Linked DNA regions of Canis lupus familiaris. The protein of the gene in region 2 interacts with the protein of the main gene of each other region in a biochemical or structural test. Links are inferred from orthologs where the notes say so. Each region holds a gene or a part of one and is shown on either strand. Other genes may lie near its edges. The genes, in order: CD58, CD2 and CD2BP2.

Region 1 (6,819 bases), about 160 kb from region 2:
TTCCATGTATGCAGGTTTAGGATCCGTGTTTTGCTCAGTTCATTCTGGGATTTTTAAGTTTCCTGGGGTGTAGTTCCAAGGTTGGCAAGAACTAGAGCCAGAATACCAGAAAGGAGCCCTATGCCACATGAGCAGGCTGGATGAGCCCTCCTTTCTAAAGCTCTGGTTCATGATTATCTACAGTGACAAGCAGATAAGACTGGAGCTCTCAATACAGGCCAGAGGATGAAAAACACATCCACTCTCCTTTTGGGGGCAAGTCCTCAATATATGAATAGAGCCTCTTTGGCCCATTGCCCAACTCGGGTCCACCTTTTCAAGCCGCTTTTGATTCATGAAGTCTGCTAGGCATATAAGCTCTCTTAAAAATGCTGTAGAAGGGACAGCTGGCTGGCTCAGTCGGTAGCATGTGTCACTCTTAATCCTGGGGTTCTGGGTTTCAGCCCCATGTTGAGTGTGGAGATTACTTTAAAAAATATTTTTAAAAAAATGCTTGATGCACAGCATTTCTCTTAATGAAAAAGCTGGCACTGTTCTGCTAGTCTTGGTCAGCAGAGCATCCAACCAAAGAAGACCTAATGAATCATTCTTTACTCGAAGGCCGGAGACCATGACCTGAGGCATACTTCTCAGCCCCACGTGACTGGGCAAAATTTTCCCCAGCCCTGCTCTGGAGATGGTTGACCGCTCCTGCTGGCTGGTCCAAACGACAGCATGGTTGCCTATCTGAAAGTTGCATCCTGTTCTGTATGACGGGGTAAGAGTCGTGCTTTGGATGTAGCTTTAGTTGGACTCCCAGTTTTGCTCCTTACTATGTGTCCTTGGGCAAGTCACGCATCTTCTCTGAGTGTCTGTTTTCTCATTTGTGAATTTAGAGACAGCAAGAAGATTAAATTAATTGGGGGTAATGCACTTAATGCAAGGCCTGGCTTAGTAAGTGCTCAGCATACGTTTGCTGTTACATCACTTCTCAGTTTAAAAATATTCAGGGGCACTCTAGTGTCTAAAAGTTTGACCCTATCCTAACTTTCTCAGTTGGCCTGAGTTCCTACTAGCCCATGGCAGAGCAGAAACTTGATTTTCTCCCATTTTGTGCTATACACCGCACCTGCCTCACGTTCCAGTATCTACAGATGGTAGGGATGTTTTAAGGTAGGATACTTCATGGTACATGACGTTTGTCCCCCACATTTCACTGATAGAGATACCTTTAGGATTTATGGTTATTTATTTATTTATTTATTTATTTATTTATTTATTTATTTATTTATTTATTTATTTTTGGTAGGCTCCACACCCAGCATGGAGCCCAACACAGGGCTTGAACTCAACAGTGCTGCATCAAGACCTGAGCTGAGATCAAGAGTTGTGTGCTCTAGGCGCCCCTAGATAACTTAAGATTTTTTTGGCTGACTTAAGAACTAATGAATCCTTACAGTATAGTTCAGATGTCTTGAGTAGTTTGGGGATCCTGGCTTGAGGATGATGGAGATGACAGCAACAATATGGCAATTTCCCCTGTTTCACAACTGACAGGTTGGTGTTTATTAGGACAGCAGGATATCCTGTTCACTGGAAGAGCTTCAGAGTTCCCTTCCCTCCCACAGCTGGGCAGGAGCAAGTCGTGCTTCTCTCTGAAAGGGGACAGACGGGAAGGCATGTGGGGAGCTGGTTCTGGGAGTTCTTTGACAAATTTGACAGACAAGCCAATCAAGAATTCTTACCACCACTAGGCTAGGGGGCGCCTGGGTGGTTCGGTGGGTTAAACGTCTGAGGTGGGCCCAGGTCAAGATCCCCGAGTCCTGGGCTGGAGCCCCACATTCTGGCTCCCTGCTCGGCGGGGAGTCTACTTCTCTCTCTGCCCCTTCCGCGGCTCATGCTCTTTCTCTAATAAGTAAATAAAACCTTTTTTTTTTTTTTTTTTTTAAGAAGATTAAGCACTAGGATGGTGTGTCCAGGTGCCTGTTGCAGCTGAGGTGGGGGGTTCTGGGGGGAGGCCCAACGGTGCGGAGCGACTGGACCGACTTCTCAGCGTAAAGGAAAGCCCACAGCTGAGTTGGAGGAAGAGGAAAACAAAGAGGAAATTGAGAAGGGAGAAACCCAAGGCTAGGACCCCCAGCTCTGGGGAAGGTAGTGTTGGGGGGGTCGGGGGGGGGGCAGGCTTAAGGAAAATGTGGCCTGGACCGGAGTGACACGGGCGGGGCCGGCTGCACCAGGTAATCAGGCACGTTGTAGCAGTTGCCCCCAATGCCCTGTGCTTTCGTTCTACTCCCCCAGGACGGTGACTGGCAGGAGAAGGCGACTCCGGGGGGCGGGGCGGGGCGGGGCGGGGCGGGGGGCCGGCGGCTGCGGCCGTTGCTCCAAGCGCTGCAGGAAGCCTTGGCAGCCCCTCGGTGCCTGCGCAGTTCCCCTGGCACCTGGGGGCCAGCTTCGCGGGGGCGGTGAGCGCGGCATCCCGGGCTACCGAGGCCTCCGTCACGTCCCAACGTCCAGGGAAAGTGCCGGAGGAGCGCGAGGCACCGAGATAAGCCACGGGGCGCGGTTAAGCGTCTGCCTTCAGCAGGTCGTGATCCTGGGGTTCTGGGGTCGAGCCCCGCGTCGGGCTCCCTGCTTGGCGTGGAGCCTGCTCGCCCTCTCCTACTCCCCCTGCCTGTGCTCTCTCTCTGTGTCAAATAAACAAAATTTAAAAATCCAAAAATGGATAAATAAAAACGTAAGCCACTTTGGAGGAGGAGCTCCGCAGAGCAGACTGGTGGCAGCGGAACGACTCTGGGGTCCGGGTGGGCGCGCGACCGCACCGCGGGGAGAGGAGGCAGGCGCGGGGGCGCAGCGGGGGCGCAGCGGGGCGGGGCCCGAGGCCGGGGGCGGGGGCGGGGCAGGGGGCCGGGCCCGGGGCGGGGGGCCGGGACGGGAGCCGAGGCCGGGGTGGGGCGGGGGGCAAGACCCGGGGCGGGGGCGGGGGCGGGGGCCGAGGCTCGGGCCCGGCGCGGGGCCGGGCGGGGCGGGGGCGGGGCGGGGGCGGGGCGGGGCGGAGTCCGGGGCGGGGCCCGGGTTTGAGGCCCCGGCCACCCGGGAACCCATCGTCCGGGCTGAGTCCTGCCGGGAGGCCTGCCGGCCGCGCCATGGCCGCAGGGAGAGCGCGGGGCGCGGCGGCGGGGGTGCTCTGCGCGATGTGCCTGCTGCTCCAGTTCGGTGAGTGGAGGCCTTCCCGGGCTCGCCGGGGCCGGGGCCGGGACCGCGCTGGGGGTGTCGGTGGCCTCGGGGCTCCGCGGCCGGCGGACGCCCCGAGTCGAGGCGGCTCAGGGGGACTGGAGACCAGGAACGCAGCCCGCGGGGCGAGGCGGGACCTCGTCCGGCCGACTCGTCGCTTCAGTCTCCCGTGGGCCGCCAGGAAGCCACTCTGACCTTAGGCACGCGAATCTTCGTTGGGAGGAGGGGCGGGACTGCGCTCCGGGGCCGGGCCCGACACCCCCGTCGTGCCCGCTCGGGGTTCCTCCGGAAGGGTGTGCCCTGGCTGACGTTCCAGGGACTCTAGGTCGCTCGTGGTTCCCCCCGCCCCGCCAGCCCCAGGGGACCGTCGCCGAGCCCTCGGACGGCCCTTTCACTGCTTCCGCGGGGCTGAGCTCTCCCAGGACCGGCCCCGGCCCCGGCCCCGGGTCGCACCTGCGCAAGGACGCGGCTTATCCGCGGCGCGCCCCGAGCGGAGGAGGGCGCAGGAGCGCGGCTGCAGCCTGGTGCCGGGGCCCCGCCGCGCCCCCGTCACCCCCCGTCCCCCCCCGTGACCCCCGCCGCCCTGCTCCGCCCGCCCCCCTTCCCCCCCCGTGCCCCCCGCGCCCCAGCCGCGCCCGCCCCTGCGCCGCTCCTGCGGGCCGAGAACCCGGCCTGGGTCAGCGAGCCGCCGAGGGAAATGTCTGAATCTTTCCGGGGTCCTGAGCGGGGCGGCTGGTGCTCCTTTGCCCTCCCTTGAAAACGTCAAAGAACTCCACGTGTCTAGAACGGAGTTCATCCTTTTCCCACTCCTTGTGCCCGTCTCCCTTTTTGCCTCCCCCCCCCCCCCCCCGCAAAGCCCTGCACACGGAGTCACAGCCAAACTCTTGGAGGGAGCACAGTACTAAACCCTTCACTACTTCTTCTTTCCTTGAGGGTTTCCTGTTGGGGCCCGCCTTGCACATGCTACAGATCAACCTTGCATCCTCATTTCTGCCTCAGCTTCCGTGGAGTGCTGTGGACCCGCGTCTGCGGAGGACAGCCTAGCGGGTTGGGGTGCAGAGATAGCACAAGTGCCTACAGTACAAGGCACAGAAGTAAATGGAAGTCACGCTGAGCATAAAATGCGATGGTCGTGCACAGGGAGGGGACCAAGGTCTTTTGTGAAGTCAAGTATTTCTTGTAAAGCAGAGATTCCACGGAAGGAAGGATATTTGAACCTGTCCTCTGAGGATGGGTGGCGGTGTGGGCGTGCCATGATGTGGGGAAAAGGGAAGCAGCATGTACAAGGTGAACCTGGGCAGTGAAGAGTCCCAGTCCCAGGGTCTCCAATGTCACTGGAGCATAAATGTGCCCATAGGAGCTGGAGGCCCCACGGCAGAGCCCTGATCCAAGCCCCATTGGGAGTGTCGATTATCTTCTGCAGGCAGAGAATTCTTTCTGGGCCTCACAGAATCAGAACCGTGCATTGAGGAGGAATAATCTGGCAGCAGTACAGAGGAAAGGGTGCAGCTGAGAGTAATTGGAGGCCCGGATGCCATCACAGGACCCAGAGAGCTCTGAGGCTTTCCTATGCCGGTGGAAAGTTCTGTGAGCCTGGCTTGTCTCGGAAGAGAGAGAGTACCACTCACTGGTGAAGAAGGGTAATAATAGTGTGTACTTCCTAGAGTGTGAACATCAGTCACAAACACGTTCTTACTGATTGTCAACTATGTGTTGGGCACTAGACGTGAGACCTGGGCTGCAACAAGGAACAGACTTCCCTGCTTTTGTGAAGTTTACTTAGTAGTGGGGGAGAGAATCAGTAACTGAATAAATGAGTAAATATGTACATGTTGGGTGGTGGTAAACATTTACTAATACAGAGATTAGTAATTTGGAGGAAAGGGGTGTGGGCACAATTCGTATTTCCTTTTAATTCTTTAAAACTTTGGAATGTTGGAAATGTTTAGAACAGTTGCAAAAAACAATGTGACAAACACTAACTTTTCTCCTGAAATCCCCAGTTACTAACATTTTTGACACATTTGGTTTACTTCTCTCTGTTTATACACACTTAATTTTTTTGTCTAAACATTTGAGAGTTGCAGATCTTATGACACCTCACCCTTAAGTATTTCAGCATATGTCTTCTAAGAACAATATGTCTCCAGTAAGCCATGGAACCATGATCACAATCAGGAAACGCACCATTGATACAATACTGTTTTGTGATAGAGTCTATAGGCTGATCCAGGATCACACACTATATTTGGTAGTACTGCCTCTTTAATTCCCTTTAGTCTAAAACTTGCCAACTCTCTCTCTCTCTTTTTTTTTTGGTACTTATGGTATCACTATTTTTCAAAGGTCTAAATCAGTTTTATAGAATGTCCCTCAATTTGGATGATCTGTTTCCTTCTGATTACATTCTGGTTAAAACTTTCAGGACTGTTCCATAAGTGTGTCTTGTCCTTCTGTGTGCATCCCATTGGAGAGTAGATGCAGTCCATTTGTCCCATTATTGGAGACCTTAACTTTGGTTCTTTGGTGAAGGTGACCCACCAGATTTCTTTATCACAGAGGCACCTGTTCCCCTTTATAAATTATATGTGGCTTATCAAGTGACACTTTGAGATTGTGTGACTCTCCTGTGCCGTGACAATCTCTCACCTGGTGTTTTAGCATCCACTGGTGCTACCCAAGTCCATTAAAATATTTGTAGATGGTGGGCACCTGGGTGGCTCAGCAGTTGAGCATCTGTCTTCGGCTCAGGTCATGCTCCCAGGGTCCTGGGATTTAGTCCCACAATGGGCTCACTGCAGGGAGCCTGCTTCTCCCTCTGCCTATGTCTCTGCCTCTCTCTGTGTCTTTCATGAATAAATAAGTGAAATTTAAGTTAAATAAAATATTTTTATTTGGCAGTTTCCTATCCCTAGTTTTCTTTCTACACTGTGGACATTCTTCAGTAATGAAGAGCTTTTGCACCCCCTTTTAATTTCCTTTTTTTAATATAAGTATGGAGCCATGATATTTCTGAAGATGATATTTTTGTCATCTATTTTAATGTGTGGTGGGTGATCCAGACTTGGGCAAACGGGGACCCCTCTGTGCTTCAGTGTTCTTTGCCATGTCTCCATCTATTTGAGAATGTCCTACTTTTTGGCACAGAAAGACGTTCTGGACTTATTTTGTACCTTTTCTGTCTCAGCCTGTAATCATTAGATTCCCTTGTTCCTTTTAGTGGGAGATGGGCTTTAGAAATCAGTATCTGGGTGCTAGTGCTCAGAGCTACAGGAGTCATGGTTTCTAGGCTATCAGTTCTTATAGCTAGGAAAGAGTTTTCACGAAGTCACAAGTCTACCCCGTTACTGCTAAAACTAATCTAAACATGTGGTTCATCTTTCTCTTCCTTCATTCCCTGTTTCTATATCTCTTTGCCACAGTGAGAACTCTGTTCCTTGTAGAATCAGTGTATTTTCCTAATATACATTAAAACACAAAATAGTTTCATAATTGCTCTACCAGGACCACTACCAAGCACAAAATTTACCATGTAAAGTTCAAAGTTTCTTTTCAGTTCTTTTTATTCTTCCATATATCCCACTGAATATGTACAGAATACTGTCTTTT
Region 2 (6,867 bases):
CTGCTCTCCCAAGTCCAAGTTCAGTAGCATGGGTAAGATGGTTAACATGTTCTGATCCCCACAAGCCTGAGGAGGTGCAATGCTTCAAAGCAGCTGGGAACCCTACCCTGGAGGCATCGTTACATGTGTGGCCTGGGACCCTGGTCACAAACAACTCCCTCTCCCTGCTACCATCCACCAGGTCCTGGGAGCAGAGGGCCAGGTGTGCAGCTCAAGCTCTGGGGTGAGTGGGCCCCAGCCCCATCCAAAGCTGCTCAAGCCCTCACCGTGCCTCACCGGGCTTCATCTGTAAGAGATGGATAAGCAAGACATGCCCCACCTGTCAGAGATGACATGCGACAGAGCCCTGGGCAAATCGTTAGGTACCAATGTCAGTGCGGTTCCTGTAATATTCATAATCGTCAACTCCTTGCCTCTCTTTTTCTGACACCATAATATGCCAAGGCTGTGTCATGAAAGACAAAGTCCTTTGCTTCAGATGGCGCAGGTCCAAATCCTAACCCCACCACTTCTTACTTTTGTGACCTCCTCCTTTTTTCTTCTCTTCTGGTCTTGATCTCACCCTTACTCCCCTTCCCCAGGCTTGCCACCTTTTCCTCTCAACTTCTCTCCATTCATTATGCAGCTGGATGGCTTCTTTGTCAATGACTCCCTCTTTGCCTGCCTCCCAGCCAATGGATCTTCTCCATCAACTTTTCCATCAGATTTCATTTCTGCCCTAACATATCCGCATGCAGAAATGAACTTTTCTTCCCATCGCAAGATTCTGGGTGATTCAGTATGAAGAGGATGGATGGTCAACAAGGCAGGGTCAGTGCAGAGTCTAGGGGTCAAGTTAAGGTGTTTACTTGTCTTTTTAAAATGGAAAGAATCTTTTTTTATTTATAAGGTTAACAACCAGTCATGGTAAAAATTGATCAGAAGCAACAAAATGCGGCAAGATTAAAAATCACATGCAATTCTACTACCCAGAGCCAATAATTATTAATATTTTGTTGTCTATCCTTACCTTACCAGGTGATTTCTATACATAATACATATATAAATAATGTTTTAAAAACTAAAACGGGATCAGATGATTTTGGAGACTGCTTCGTCCTTACCATTGATCTATTATGAAATTCTTTCCTTTGTGGACATTGATATTCACCCTCTATCATCTCTTAGATGATGTCTTCTTAATTTAATGTATACCTGCTGGGGACTTTGCAATCCCTTCCAGTATTTCACTAATATAAACCTTACAGTTATGACCAGGTTCCTGAAGCCACGTCTTTGTGCATATTCTCCCTGTGAGGTGGCTTCCTGGAAGAAGCATGGCTGGATCAAGTGGGGGCACATCACATAGATGAGAATGCCTTAGTTCTAGGTTGCTGGGATTTATTCATTCTCCCCTAACACATGCTTTTAAGAGAGCTTCCAATGCCTCTTTGGCCAGGGGCAGCAGCCCCACCAGTAAGGAGATATGGGTACAGAAACTGAAGCTATGAGCAGCATAAAGAAACAGGGATGGGGGAGGGTGTTAGCATTTTGCAAATGGGTATGGGGTTCCAAGTGCTGCAGGGCACCTTTGCTTCCTTGTCTCATTGTACATCCCACGGACCTATCATTACAAAGATCAGACTCGGAGCAGAGAATTTGCCTGAAGCCATGTGGCAAATAACAGGGACCAAACCACAAACTGAATTAAAATGCTGTGTGACACTGGCACACACACTGGCACACACACACACCAGGCGGCTGCTGTGCCATGGAAAGATCTGTCTTTTGGCCAAGGAATGAGGGGGTAATGAGAATGTTCTAAAATCAACTGTGTGCTGGTTGCACAGCTCTGTGAATATACCCAAAGCTAATGAAGTGTACACTTCAAGTGGGTGAACTTCTGGTATGTGAATTCTATCTCCAAAAAGCTGTTTGAGGGGGAAAAAATGTCACCATCCTCATTAAGGGAAGCCCCGGAGTTGCACCCTGGCTCCACTCCTGTCAAGGTGTGAGACTGTGGAGAAGTCACTTCTGTTTCCCTCCAGATAGTAAGAGGACAATAACAACTAGCTCTCAGGGTTGTCTGGAAACTTAAATAAGATCATGGAGCAAAGCATCTGACACCGGCTGGTAAGCCATTATCACCGTGGGCGTTACTAGACAAGACACAGATGTGTGGCTCCTGTTCGGAAGGGAACACTTGAGCCTGTATGGACAGGAGTCATGAGATCGGTGTTCTCAGAGCCCCTGAGCAGAGGCCACTTCCAGTACTGCACCATTTCTGGAATGTGCTCTCCATTTAAGGCTGCAGAACTGGGGTACGGAGAGTTGTCACGTGAGCTGGATACGGGAACTGGGTACGGGGAGCTGGAATGGAGGGCTGCTGCCAGGCCCACGTGCTGACAGCAGGGCTGGAAGGTGACCCTGGGGAGGGGGAAGGGGCCCTGCCTCTAGCGACATTTCCTGTGTGAAGCACAGAAATACTGGTTTGTTTGCTCGCTGCATCTCTGGCTTTTGCTCATGGGGGGTTCCTGCCCTCCTCTCCAAACTGAGGCCTTCTTCCCCTTCTCCTTATCAAGCCCTGCCAAGCGTCCCCAGGCTTTGAACGTCAATGTCATTTCAATTTCACTTTCTCTTCCTTGTCTCCTGCACCCAAGCCATCTTGCCCATTCTTTCTCCATCCAGCACCCTTCATGTACTCTACTTCCCTATTTTCCAGGCACCCCTTATCGACTCTGGGGGGTCGTCGGTTCTGGCTGCCCATTAGAATCAGCTGAGGAGCTTTAGCCCAGCTCCCATGCCAGGAAATTCTGATTTGATTGTTCTGGGCTGAGACCTAGGCACCGGTAACTTTTCCTAGGGCCTCAGTTGACTCTAACATGCAGCCCGAGTTGAGAATCCCCAAGTAGTACCCTACCCCCACACACACCCCACTGGTACTGTAGCAGCAGCTCCCAGGCTCATCTTCAACAGGCCCTCCAGCACTCCCAGGGCATCACACACATACGGCCACACCTGCTGTATTTTCTGTAACCATCAGCCCAAATTATCTTCCACTTTTCATCACTCTGATGTTGAGCAGATCTGAAACAAGGGCTGTTCATCTTTAAACTTCCAGCCCTTTCCTGCCATATAAATACTCTTTCAGGGCATCGTGGCTTGAAATGTCTCTCTAAAAGGACGACCCACCTCTTTCCAGTTAGTCTGCTCCACACCCAGCTTGCTTTTTCATCATCCACTTGAAATGACCACTTTTCTCTTCTTCCCACCTGTTCCTCTCCTCCTGATCAATGCCACCTTGATCTAGGTTCTACACTCAGCTCCACATCCCCATAACCATGGAAGAGAGCATTTTCGGCAAAGAGAGTCGAACTTTTATTGGCCGTGTATCTCCCCATGCGGAGACTCCATCTCTTCCACAGGACTGGAGCCCTCCCTGAGGTGGGAGAGATGCATTAGTTCCCCTTTAGGGCTCCCCCACCCTGGCCAAGGGCAGGCTGGGGCCATTCCATAAATGTTATTCCCCAACTTGCTAAGTAGCGCCCATACTGAGATGGAGGAATTTAGGGAATGAGACTTACCTTGAATCTTCAATTGATAATTTCTTCTCAATACACTCTTTCCATCTTTATCATATATAGCCACCTTGTAGATATCGCTGTCATTCATCATCAGATGTTTAATTTTCAGAAATCCGTTTGTTGATATGTTGTATTTTCCATGTGTGTCTTTAAGTATGCCTGTTTTGAGTTCTGCAACCTTGGTTTTGCCTTTTTCCCATCGGATATGGTCTATCTTAGCATTCATTTGAAAACCAGCAGAGTCCAGGTCAAAGTCATGACCAAGGGCACCCCAGACAAGCTTGGTTTCAAGGACCTCACCTATAAAAAGCAAGACAGTTACTGAGATCTCGAGACTCACTTCCAGAGAAATTTTAGGCTATGACTTTTTGACTTTCATGCTTACTTTTGGGTCTCCAACGGAGACCCACACCAACTTACCTTTGATGTAAAAGACGAAAATCAGAAGGAAGCTGGCTAAGATTTGACATGCGAGGTTCATCTTTGGGGTTAGTTTCCTTGTTGTGATTCTGAGCTCTTCCTGCAAAAGGAACTAAAGTAAGACCAGTGGAATCCACCCTCTGAGAGCTGAACCACGTGCCTCTCTTTTTTGCTTCTTTTACAGTAGCATAGCACACACACACACACACACACACACACACACACACTCAGCAAACCAACCCTGCTGATGCTCCTTTACCAAAGCAGGTGTGTTTATTATGTGCGAGTATCTTCTTAATCACATTTTAATCCTTACAACAACCTTGGGTGGGTTTTATTAACCCCGTCAAAGAGAAAAAGAACCAAGAGGCTGAGCAAATCATTCAGGATCCCCTTTTGGTTAACAAGGAGCCAGATTTAACCAGACAGCCTGCTTTAACCAGACATTCTGCTATGCCACCTCTAACAGGACCATAATAAGTTCATTAGTGACTAGCAGCATATATTTATCCTATGATTACAAGCATCGGAGAATGTATACACGTGAAAGAATTATGAAAATGGATTTATTCTCTTCTTTTAAAGGTGTTTTAGAGGTTCTAAAATTCTTTGTGATTAAAATGAAATGTAAGTTGAGTCTCAGCTGTAAATGCTTGAAATCCCCAGATCTTATGCTCAACGTATATTTTACAACTCTATTGAAATCCAGTTAAGTAAGTAAAAACTTGTTCCTAAATAAACAAAAACACAAAGAGTCTGGAATACTGTCAAACAACCAGAACGAATCATTCAGAGCATTTACAATGGTTAATATTATAGATGGTTAAGGAAAGGAAGAGATACAGAGAAAAGGACAAGTGAGAGAGGACTCAGAGAAAGAGGAAAGAAATTTATGATTTGGGGAGAGAAATAAAGTGATGTGTTGATGAGTGTACACAGAAAAAATGCACCAAGAGAGCCAGCCACAGAAAAAAGGGAAACCTAATGATAGATTTCCAAAGTAAATGTCGTTTTGTGCTTCCTTAGGATAGAGTAAAAATCTTAAAAATTATGCTTGCTTGCTTTTTTTAAAATTTAGGCACAAATGTGGTTATTACCTCTTAGAAAGCTTCCCAGAAAATGAAGTTAAGTGAAAGCAATGGATCTCAACCACTGGGTGAAAGGATACCTACAGAGAATATTTACTTCGTGATTATTGACAAATTCCTAATGCACATCACCCACAAAGATAAACTATAATTGTGTTAAATTCTTAAATGTTAAAGAAACTGTGATAGTGCTAAAAAACATTCACAGAAATATATCTTCATATCTTTGAGCATAGGAGGCCTACCTACATGTGCTATATGATCCAAAAGTAATATAGAAAAAATGGACAAAATTGATGAATAAAAACGTAATATTTATTTATTGGCAAAGAGATGAGCAAAATGAAAAGACATGATGGAAAATATTTGCAATACATATGAAAAATTATTAATATACAAGTTATGGAAATTATTACTATAATAAGAAAACTCAGTTTTTAAAATGTAATTTAAAGATACAAATGAACAGTTTATAGAAGAAATTCTTAATAGAAGAAATGTCAATAAACTTATCAGAGGATATCTAATACAGCTATGAAATACCATTATCACCACCAGATTGGCCAAATTAGAAAAGATAATAGTTTACGTAGGATACAGGTAGAAACATGCACCTTCATATAATATTGAAGGGAGTACAAATCCACACCTCATGGGGGATGAAATTTGGCAATTTCTATCAAACTTCAAAATATATATATATATATATATATTTTTTTTTTACCTAAGTAATTTTAACTTGAGAAATCTATTCTACACAAGTATTTACATAAATGTGGAAACATTCTGTCCAAGGGCATTTGTTGTAGCATTTTTCTGTAATAGAAAATTGCAAACACCTAAAATGATGGCAGATTCATATTATGAAATACTGCACAATGGTCAAAACAGGATAAAGTAGACTAAAAAGTGATGATTATACTGTATCATATCACATTACATAATTACTGAATTCATGGAAAAAATTCTAGAAGGATTCTAGAATTCTAGTTCAGCATCTGGAAGGATGCTGAAATTTAACAGTGCTCCTCTTTTAAAACTTTAGATTTTGAAGAGGCCAATTAGAAATTTGCACTTTATACTTACCTGCTTCTGTGAAGTCAGAAATTCTGTTAACAAACACATTAGTTTTGTAATGCAAAGTTTTTTATCTATTTATTTTTTAAAATAAAGGATGCTTCAGATACGTTTTTTCAAAAGTGTATGCAGATTCTTTTTTTGAGGGGGGATTTTATTTATTTACTTGACAGAGAGAGAGAGAGAGCAAGCAAGGGACAGAGGGAGAGGAAGAAGCAGACTGAGCAGCGAGCTGGATTCCAGGACCCCAGGACCCCAGGATCATGACCTGACCCAAAGGCAAACGCTCAACCACTGAGCCACCCAGGCATCCCAGTTCTTTTTCAAACAATAATTTACTCTTGCATCTCATTCAATTCTGGGTAGTAAGCATGGCTTCAAGGGCAGGAACCATGAGGAAAGAAAGATTGATGGATCTGACTATGTAAAGTTTAAAAGTTTCAGACATAAAAGCCTGTAAGAAACATTAAAACACAAAGGACTAAAGGGGACAAGATGTATGACAAAGGTTAACATCCTTAAAATTGTGTGTGTGTGTGTGTGTGTGTGTGTGTGTGTAAATGTAGAAAGAACAGATGGACACTTCAATGTTAAAATGGAGTCAAGGTCATAAAAGGGACCATTTGCAAAAGAAGAAATACAGTTGAGCAATAAGGCCATGAAAAAGTCTTCTGTTTATTAATTTTTGTAAAAAGTAAGTTTTAACTTAGATATTCATC
Region 3 (6,998 bases), on a different chromosome or scaffold from region 2:
GTGCTGGGCCCACTCCAGGGCCCGTGGTCACTGCTGAGGGACTACATCCATCCCTTCCTTCGCCTACTGGCAATAGCACCCCACTGGCTCCCAGCAAGGAGACTCGAAGGCAAGAGAAAGAGCGGCAGAAACAGGAAAAGGAACGTGAGAAGGAGCGGCAGAAACAGGAGAAAGAACGGGAAAAGCAAGAGAAGGAGCGGCAGAAGTGGGAAAAAGAGCAGGAGAAGGAGCAACAGAAGCAGGAGAAGGAGCGGCAGAAGCAGGAAAAGAAGGCCCAGGGCAGGAAGCTCTCACTGCGTCGAAAGGCAGATGGGCCCCCCACCCCCCAGGATGGTGGGGACAGGTCCTCGGCATCTGAGGCCCGGCAGGATGCTTACTTCTGACCTCTGTTTTGGGGCTGGACTGCATGACCTCCCTCTTTTTTCCTCAGTCCAGAGCAGGCCTGGCCTGGGGTGCTGCCCCAAGCCTCCTGGGCCAGTGGTCACTCTCTCTGGGGAAAGCAGTTGGCTCCCCATCTCCTTTGCCAGCCACTGGTCCCTACACAGCTGGGACAGTGGGAGCGCACTGGGCAGCCGCCTCTCCTTGGGACAGCCTCGAATAAGTCTGGAGCCCCTCACCTCCAGTTAGGTCCAGCTGGGGTCTCTGTCACTCCTGCCCCAATTCCCTCTGGGGTCCTTCCCAGGTGCAGTCCTGATTGGCCTTTAGTCACCTCAGGGGTGACTTGGCGATGGGAATCAGCAGTTTTCAGATTCTTACACTCCAGTTGCTCCCCTTTATCCGTGAGTGGAGCCGGGTTCCTTTTTCCCTGCAGCCCTGCCCATCTCCCCCTCTTCCTGCCTGGGGGCCAAAGCTCTCCTCGCTCTACTTTCGGACATCTCTGCGTTGTAATTATGTACAGAGGACCTGGTGGGTCCAGGGTGGGGGTGTTCGCTCTATCTTCTGTCCTTTAGTTCTCCTTCTACAATGTTCTTGCACTCATTTATTTAAGGGGACATGCCTTGGAACAGGAAATGCCCCCCCCCCCCAACCATCCTCCTTGCTCTCTTTCTTCTTCACCACCTTCCTGTGTATTCTCAGGCCTCTCCTGCTTTGTCTCACCAGGGTCCCCACCTTTTACATTGTTTCCCTCCAGCCCCTATCTGGGGAAGGGGTCTTCCCTTGAGCTCCAGGGGGTGGAACCCAATGTTTACATTCTCTTCTATCTCTGCTCCTATCCTATGCAGCGCTTTGAGGAATCAGAAAAGAACCTGCTGTTGTACCTGGGCCCGTCTCCTGCTTTGTTATTTGATAGAGGGGGTTAGAATAAGGACTGGGCAGGGGGTGGGAAACAGTGGAGCAGGCCAGGATCCAGGCATCTACCGAAGCTGTGGGCTGGTCTTGGCACGTGGGTACCTCTTGGCCTTTGGTCCACCTTTCAGTCACTCATCAGCTGCTGAGCTCCTGTTCCTCTTTTGCCTGGGATCTGCTGCCCCCATTGTTAGCCTGGGGCCCTCTACGCACCACCTGCAGCACCCGGATCTCCTTTCCAAAGTGCTCATGCAATTCCTGGAAGCTGGAGGGGATACCGAGGGTGGCAAGAAAGCCACAGTCCTCTGGGGGTGAGCTGGGCTCTTGGCCAGCTGCCTGGCACAGCTCCCGGTACTGGGCCTCCAGGGGGGGTAGTAGCGCCACCAGCCGCCTCCAGCTCGCCCCAGCTAGTGCCCACAGCCAGGCTCCCAGCTCTTCCTGGTTTTCTGCTGCCAATTTGTAGGCACGCCCAGCTGTTCCCTCAACCCTAGGGGTCAGTATGGTAAAGGCATAGGGTTCTGTGGCCCCAAGGCGTGGCTCCACCCGACAGTTTTCCAAGAGAATGAGGCCCAGGGGTGTGTGGTCCGCCTGGTTCTCCAGGTAGAAGAGGAGGTTTCCCCGGAGGATGAACCAGCGGCGTTGATAGCTGATATTTCGGGCTCCTTTCTTCAGCAAGATGCCCTCGCGGTCTGGAGCTTTTCTGTATCCACGGAAGAAATTGAGTACGGATTTCTGGTGCAGTTTCATGGTAGTCCAATCTGGGAGTAGACCTTGGGGGCAGGAGAGAGAGCTGGTCCTAGCCTAGTGGGATTTAAGAGTGTCCTCAAGAGTACAGGTCTTGCTCCCCCCCCCCCCCCCCAGCACTGGGGCCGACACCTCCCACCTACAGTTCTCCCCTTTGGGCTAGTTTACAGACCCTGGGCAGGGGCCGCTGGCCTGGACCCCTATTTGCTTGCGCCTGTAGTTGGAGAGACGCACTGTTGCCCTTTTCCAGGCCTACCTGAAATCAGGGCACAAGAAACTTCGGCCTGGGTACTGGACACAGGTACCACCGTCACCTTTCCGAGACGGCTCTTCCCACCTCTCAAACCAGGAACTCCCCAGGGGATAGGTGTCGGGTAAATGACTTCCCCCGGGTCCTAAAGAGACCTGTGTTCGGCAAGTGCCCCGGAACCACCCCGGGCCTCCAGGCTGGCCATCAGAACCGGGTCTTGCCTCGGGGAAAAGAGCAGGGCCGCACCTCGGGGTAGGAGTGGACTGGACTGGACGCTGAGTGGAAAGGAAGGGTTTCCAAGAAGATTCTGGTGAGGGGCGCAAAGCCCTTGGGCAACCCTGGGGAAAGTGATTCAACTATGGAAAGGGAAACGGGCCATTGTCCCACTTTGCTCCTCCATCATGGTCCTGGGCGCCCCTTTAAGTAGAGTGCGCTCTGCTTTCTCCCCAGAGCCTCTGACTGCTGTCGGAGGGAATCGAAACCGCATCCGGCCATCTCTCTCGTCTGATCGGGGCCTAGGCGTTCGTACGTCCCCTGTTCTCGCCATTGTCGCCCCACACTGATCACGTCACTCTGGGTTGGGCGGGGAGGTGTTTCCCGCTCACTGTGTACTTCCGCCCGCTTCTCCACTTAGTCCCCTACCCCGAGTGAAGCCACTTCCGGCCTTCTCCAGCGCCTTCCGCAGTTCCCTTCCGGGTGATGGCGGCCGCTGCCCCGGACGTAGCCGTGGGGAAAGCAGCTCTCTTTTTCCTTCCCCGCCGGCCTCCCGTCGATCTTTAGGTGAGCGCGCGCCGGTGGGGTCCTGGAATCCTCGCGGTTCTGCCGCCCCTCTGATTTGTACACTTAGCCCGGGACAGTTGGGGGTCACCCCTCGGAGCCGGGAGTTCGGCGCGGGGAAGAGGGGGTCGGCCAGGACGCCAGGTCCTGGGTCCGCCCGGGCCCCGCGGGCTCTGAGGGAGCTGGGGGTGTAGGAGCCGGTGTCAGCCCTCAGAGCCTCGTCGCACCCAGGACTGCGGGGGCCAGGAATGGGGGGGCATGTGTGGGGGGTCTGTCTCCTTTCGTCAAGGGTGGGGGTTGCCCGTGGGAAGCCCCTCCGCGCGTCCGCCTCTCCGGCCCCGCACCAGCAACTCTTTTGGACCAAACCAAGTCCCCGGGGCCTCCTGGCGGCCGACTTCCCTTTCGGCCCCTGACTCTGCACCCTCTCTTCCCAAGCTGGATCTAGTGCGTACCAGGTGATTATTTGTTGTGCTGGCGGCCCTTCGGCGGTGAGTAGCCTCGCCCAGTTCCCTTAATCTGCACCCTTTCCCTCGCTCAGCTTGGCGAAGGCCCCTCTGTGCAGGCATGCCAAAGAGGAAAGTGACCTTCCAAGGCGTAGGAGATGAGGATGATGAGGATGAAATCAGTGTCCCCAAGAAGAAGGTGAGGTGGCCAGACTCCTGTATTCTGGGGAGGAGTGAGGGCAGGGAGAAGGAACTGGAGGCTAGAAGAGAAAGAAAGCTGGTGGGGATAAAGCGGTGAAAGGTCTCGCTTTTTCCATGTTCTCTGGGAAATGGGTTTGGAGAATTTTCAGTCTGAGAAAGCTTTGAAGAAAAACCTTCCTAGAGTACTTTGAGGAATAGCCGCAAACCTGCATCTCTCAACTTGCTGGCTCCTCACAGCTGGTGGATCCTGTGGCTGGGGCAGGGGGTCCTGGGAGCCGCTTCAAAGGCAAACACTCTTTGGACAGTGATGAGGAGGATGATGATGATGAGGGGTCCAGCAAATACGACATCCTGGCCTCAGAGGATGTGGAAGGTGAGCTAAACCCAAGAATTGTTGCTGCTGGAGGAACAGATGGGGTTTCACGGGATATGGGGTGGAGAAGGCTCTTGTCTGTTTTTGCTTGCTCAGCCTGGGCCACCTGTGTCTTTGGTGCAGGTCAGGAAGCAGCCACACTCCCCAGTGAGGGAGGTGTGCGGATCACACCTTTCAACCTGCAGGAAGAGATGGAGGAAGGCCACTTTGATGCTGATGGCAATTACTTTCTGAACCGGGATGCTCAGATCCGAGATAGCTGGCTGGACAACATTGACTGGGTGTGGCCCAGGGGTTGACTTTGGCTGGGGACCTGGAGGCAGCAAGTGCTGGGCTTGTGCCCTGCTCACGGTTTGTAAGAGATAACCGACCCCCCCCCCCCCACCCCGTTTTCATATCACAGGTGAAGATCAAGGAGCGGCCACCTGATCAGCGCCCACCTTCAGACTCAGAGGAAGAAGACAGCCTGGGCCAGACACCAATGAGTGCCCAAGCCCTCCTGGAGGGCCTTCTGGAGCTGCTGTTACCCAGAGAGACAGTGGCCGGGGCACTGAGGCGTCTGGGGGCCCGAGGAGGAGGAGGTGGCAAAGGGGGCAGCAAGGGGGCTGGGCGGCCTAGTTCCCCTCAGCGCTTGGATCGGCTCTCTGGGTTGGCTGACCAGATGGTGGCCCGGGGCAACCTCGGTGTATATCAGGAGACAAGGGAACGGTTAGCCATGCGGCTGAAGGGGTTGGGGTCCCGGACTCAGGGACCCCCTGACCCCACACCCCCACCCTCTCTGGACATGTTTGCTGAGGAAGTGGCAGAGGGGGAGCTGGAGACCCCAACCCCCACACAGAGGGGAGGTAAGATCAGAAGGCAGAGGAGGGGTGTTGGGGCAGGAGGTAGGGCACTTGAGGGCCAGATGGCTTTGCCTGTTGTTTTAGAAGCAGAATTGAAAGGAGATGATGGTCTGGTGGACGTGATGTGGGAATATAAGTGGGAGAACACAGGGGATGCTGAGCTGTATGGGCCCTTCACCAGCACCCAGATGCAGGTAAGCCCTTTCCTGCTTCTACCACTACCCCCCTTCCCTTCTCCCATGAGTCTTTCCCCAGCTCTGCTTTCCTTTCCTGCAGACCTGGGTGAACGAAGGCTACTTCGCAGATGGTGTTTATTGCCGGAAGCTGGACCCTCCCGGTGGACAGTTCTACAACTCCAAACGCATTGACTTTGACCTCTACACCTGAGTCTGCTGAGGGCCCAGTTTGGTGGTCCCTTCTTTCCTTGACTCTGGAGGAGGCCCCAGCTGTCTCAGGCATTGAGGATTTTGGGGGCCACCTTTCAGTCCATTTTCCTTTCCCAATAAAAGCCTTTAGTTGTATGTTAGGGCCTTGGCTGTGCTGATGGCCAGGAGCTAAGGTGCTTCATAGCCCCTTTGGACTTGCCTCATGAAGTTCTTCTTGGGAGTGTTTGGTCACTTGAGCCACCTCACCTTTGTTTACCATTCCCAAGGTAGAGCCAGGGCTCCCAGGTGGCCTGTGGCCTTCCCACCTGGATTCTGCTCACCATCTCAAAAATCTCTTTGCTCACCTGCTGTTCTCCAGTACCCTCGGAGCAGGGTTCCTGTTTTGTTTTTCTGCAGTCCTGTTTTTAGAACTTTAGAGTCTCTAGCCAGTATAAGATGGAGCTTCAGAAGTAGAAATTTTTAGGCTTCAAAAGGGCTGAGACATATGCTGGGGGTGAGTGGGAAGCCTGGTACCCACTCCCTCCCCACCCCCTCGGGATCTCCAGCTCCTCAGGCGAAGTGTGAACTCCAGGCCACCTGGGCCAACCATTGAACAGACAAAGAGGGGCAGTGTCTCCCTGGAGCTCACACAGCAATCTGAGCATGACTTGACCCCATGGGTTTCTTGCCCAGACCTTTCTTGGCACCTTTGAGGCCCTGAAGCTTCCATTCCCTGGGCTCTCGTGGTGTGCCTGGTATGAGGCTAGTGCTTTGAAGGAACTCTCAATAACTAGGGAGCTGATCCACTTCCAGGAATTCAGATTCTGAAGAGTGGGGTCGGGAAGGAGACAGGTATCATTGAACCTGGACCTCCCACCTCTAACCAGTTTTGCCTTATGCCTCTTCTCTCATGCACCAGGTTAGGGGGAGTCCTCCACATTTCTACCTCGACTGTCCATTGGTGTCTCAGCAGGGCTGTAAAATTACTCCTCATGTTCTGAATGAATTGATCTAGGTAGTGGCTTGGTGGTTGGGACTTTGAAAAGCTTCCAGGTGATTCCAATGTGTGGATGAGTGGAAAACCATCGGGTGGGACTCCTGTGATTGGGTTCCACCTCAAGCGAGGGGCCTCTTCCCAAATCCTGCGGTGGTGGCAGAGGTGAACAGGTGTGGCCAGGGCTCCGCTGGAGTCTGTTACAGGACTGTGGAGCACCAGAGCCCCAGGTGGAAGGAGCCAGACTGGGAAGTAGGAAAGACAAGGACAGGGTGGGGATACTTGGTACTCCAGCAAGGTCTCCAACTTCTGTGATAATTAGGTCTGTGCTAGTGCCAGTCCAGACTTGGGTTTCACCGACTCCAAGATCCCTTCAGTTGTAAGAACTCTTTATGTGTCATTGAGGAAGAAAACCCTGCCAATTACATTTACGAGATGTCAATGATTAAAAGGTGCATCCTGATTTCAGAAACAAGAAAGGAAAAGCAGTACAGCTGCCACCTTTATAACCCCAATGACTGGCTTGTGGGAGGGGCTTAGTGTTTGGTGAATAGGTAGCAGTTCCCTTGAGACTGCCACCAGCACCTGGGGCCTCCACCTGGCCAGAACGGACTCCCATCTTCCCCTCACAGCGTCCTCCTGGGTTCACCCTTTTTCTTTTAAAGAATTTATTCATGAGAGACACACAGAAAGAGGCAGAGATAAGGCAGAGGGAGAAGCAG

What was found.
Region 1: the proteins of CD2 (region 2) and CD58 form a complex in vitro, tested with the Homo sapiens proteins (3 studies listed by BioGRID and IntAct, with this or other methods). The link is inferred for Canis lupus familiaris from reciprocal best matches to the Homo sapiens genes CD2 and CD58.
Region 3: the proteins of CD2 (region 2) and CD2BP2 interact in a biophysical measurement, tested with the Homo sapiens proteins (6 studies listed by BioGRID and IntAct, with this or other methods). The link is inferred for Canis lupus familiaris from reciprocal best matches to the Homo sapiens genes CD2 and CD2BP2.

What each region holds. Positions count from the first base shown.
Region 1 is NC_049238.1:54,534,821-54,541,639, reverse strand, and holds the start of CD58 (lymphocyte function-associated antigen 3), read left to right. Parts: upstream 1-3,033; 5' UTR 3,034-3,122; coding exon 3,123-3,192; intron 3,193-6,819. UniProt on the Homo sapiens protein: Ligand of the T-lymphocyte CD2 glycoprotein.
Region 2 is NC_049238.1:54,696,633-54,703,499, reverse strand, and holds the start of CD2 (T-cell surface antigen CD2), read right to left. Parts: upstream 4,146-6,867; 5' UTR 4,045-4,145; coding exon 3,984-4,044; intron 3,864-3,983; coding exon 3,564-3,863; intron 1-3,563. UniProt on the Homo sapiens protein: CD2 interacts with lymphocyte function-associated antigen CD58 (LFA-3) and CD48/BCM1 to mediate adhesion between T-cells and other cell types. CD2 is implicated in the triggering of T-cells, the cytoplasmic domain is implicated in the signaling function.
Region 3 is NC_049227.1:17,899,300-17,906,297, forward strand, and holds CD2BP2 (CD2 antigen cytoplasmic tail-binding protein 2), read left to right. Parts: upstream 1-2,523; 5' UTR 2,524-2,591; intron 2,592-2,731; 5' UTR 2,732-2,806; intron 2,807-2,915; 5' UTR 2,916-3,061; exon of another isoform or gene 3,062-3,218; intron 3,219-3,349; exon of another isoform or gene 3,350-3,493; 5' UTR 3,494-3,513; intron 3,514-3,596; 5' UTR 3,597-3,622; coding exon 3,623-3,700; intron 3,701-3,939; coding exon 3,940-4,075; intron 4,076-4,198; coding exon 4,199-4,356; intron 4,357-4,478; coding exon 4,479-4,920; intron 4,921-5,001; coding exon 5,002-5,111; intron 5,112-5,193; coding exon 5,194-5,304; 3' UTR 5,305-5,439; downstream 5,440-6,998. Other genes in the region: TBC1D10B (TBC1 domain family member 10B), read left to right, coding at 1-383; sesquipedalian-1-like, read right to left, coding at 1,426-2,034. UniProt on the Homo sapiens protein: Involved in pre-mRNA splicing as component of the U5 snRNP complex that is involved in spliceosome assembly.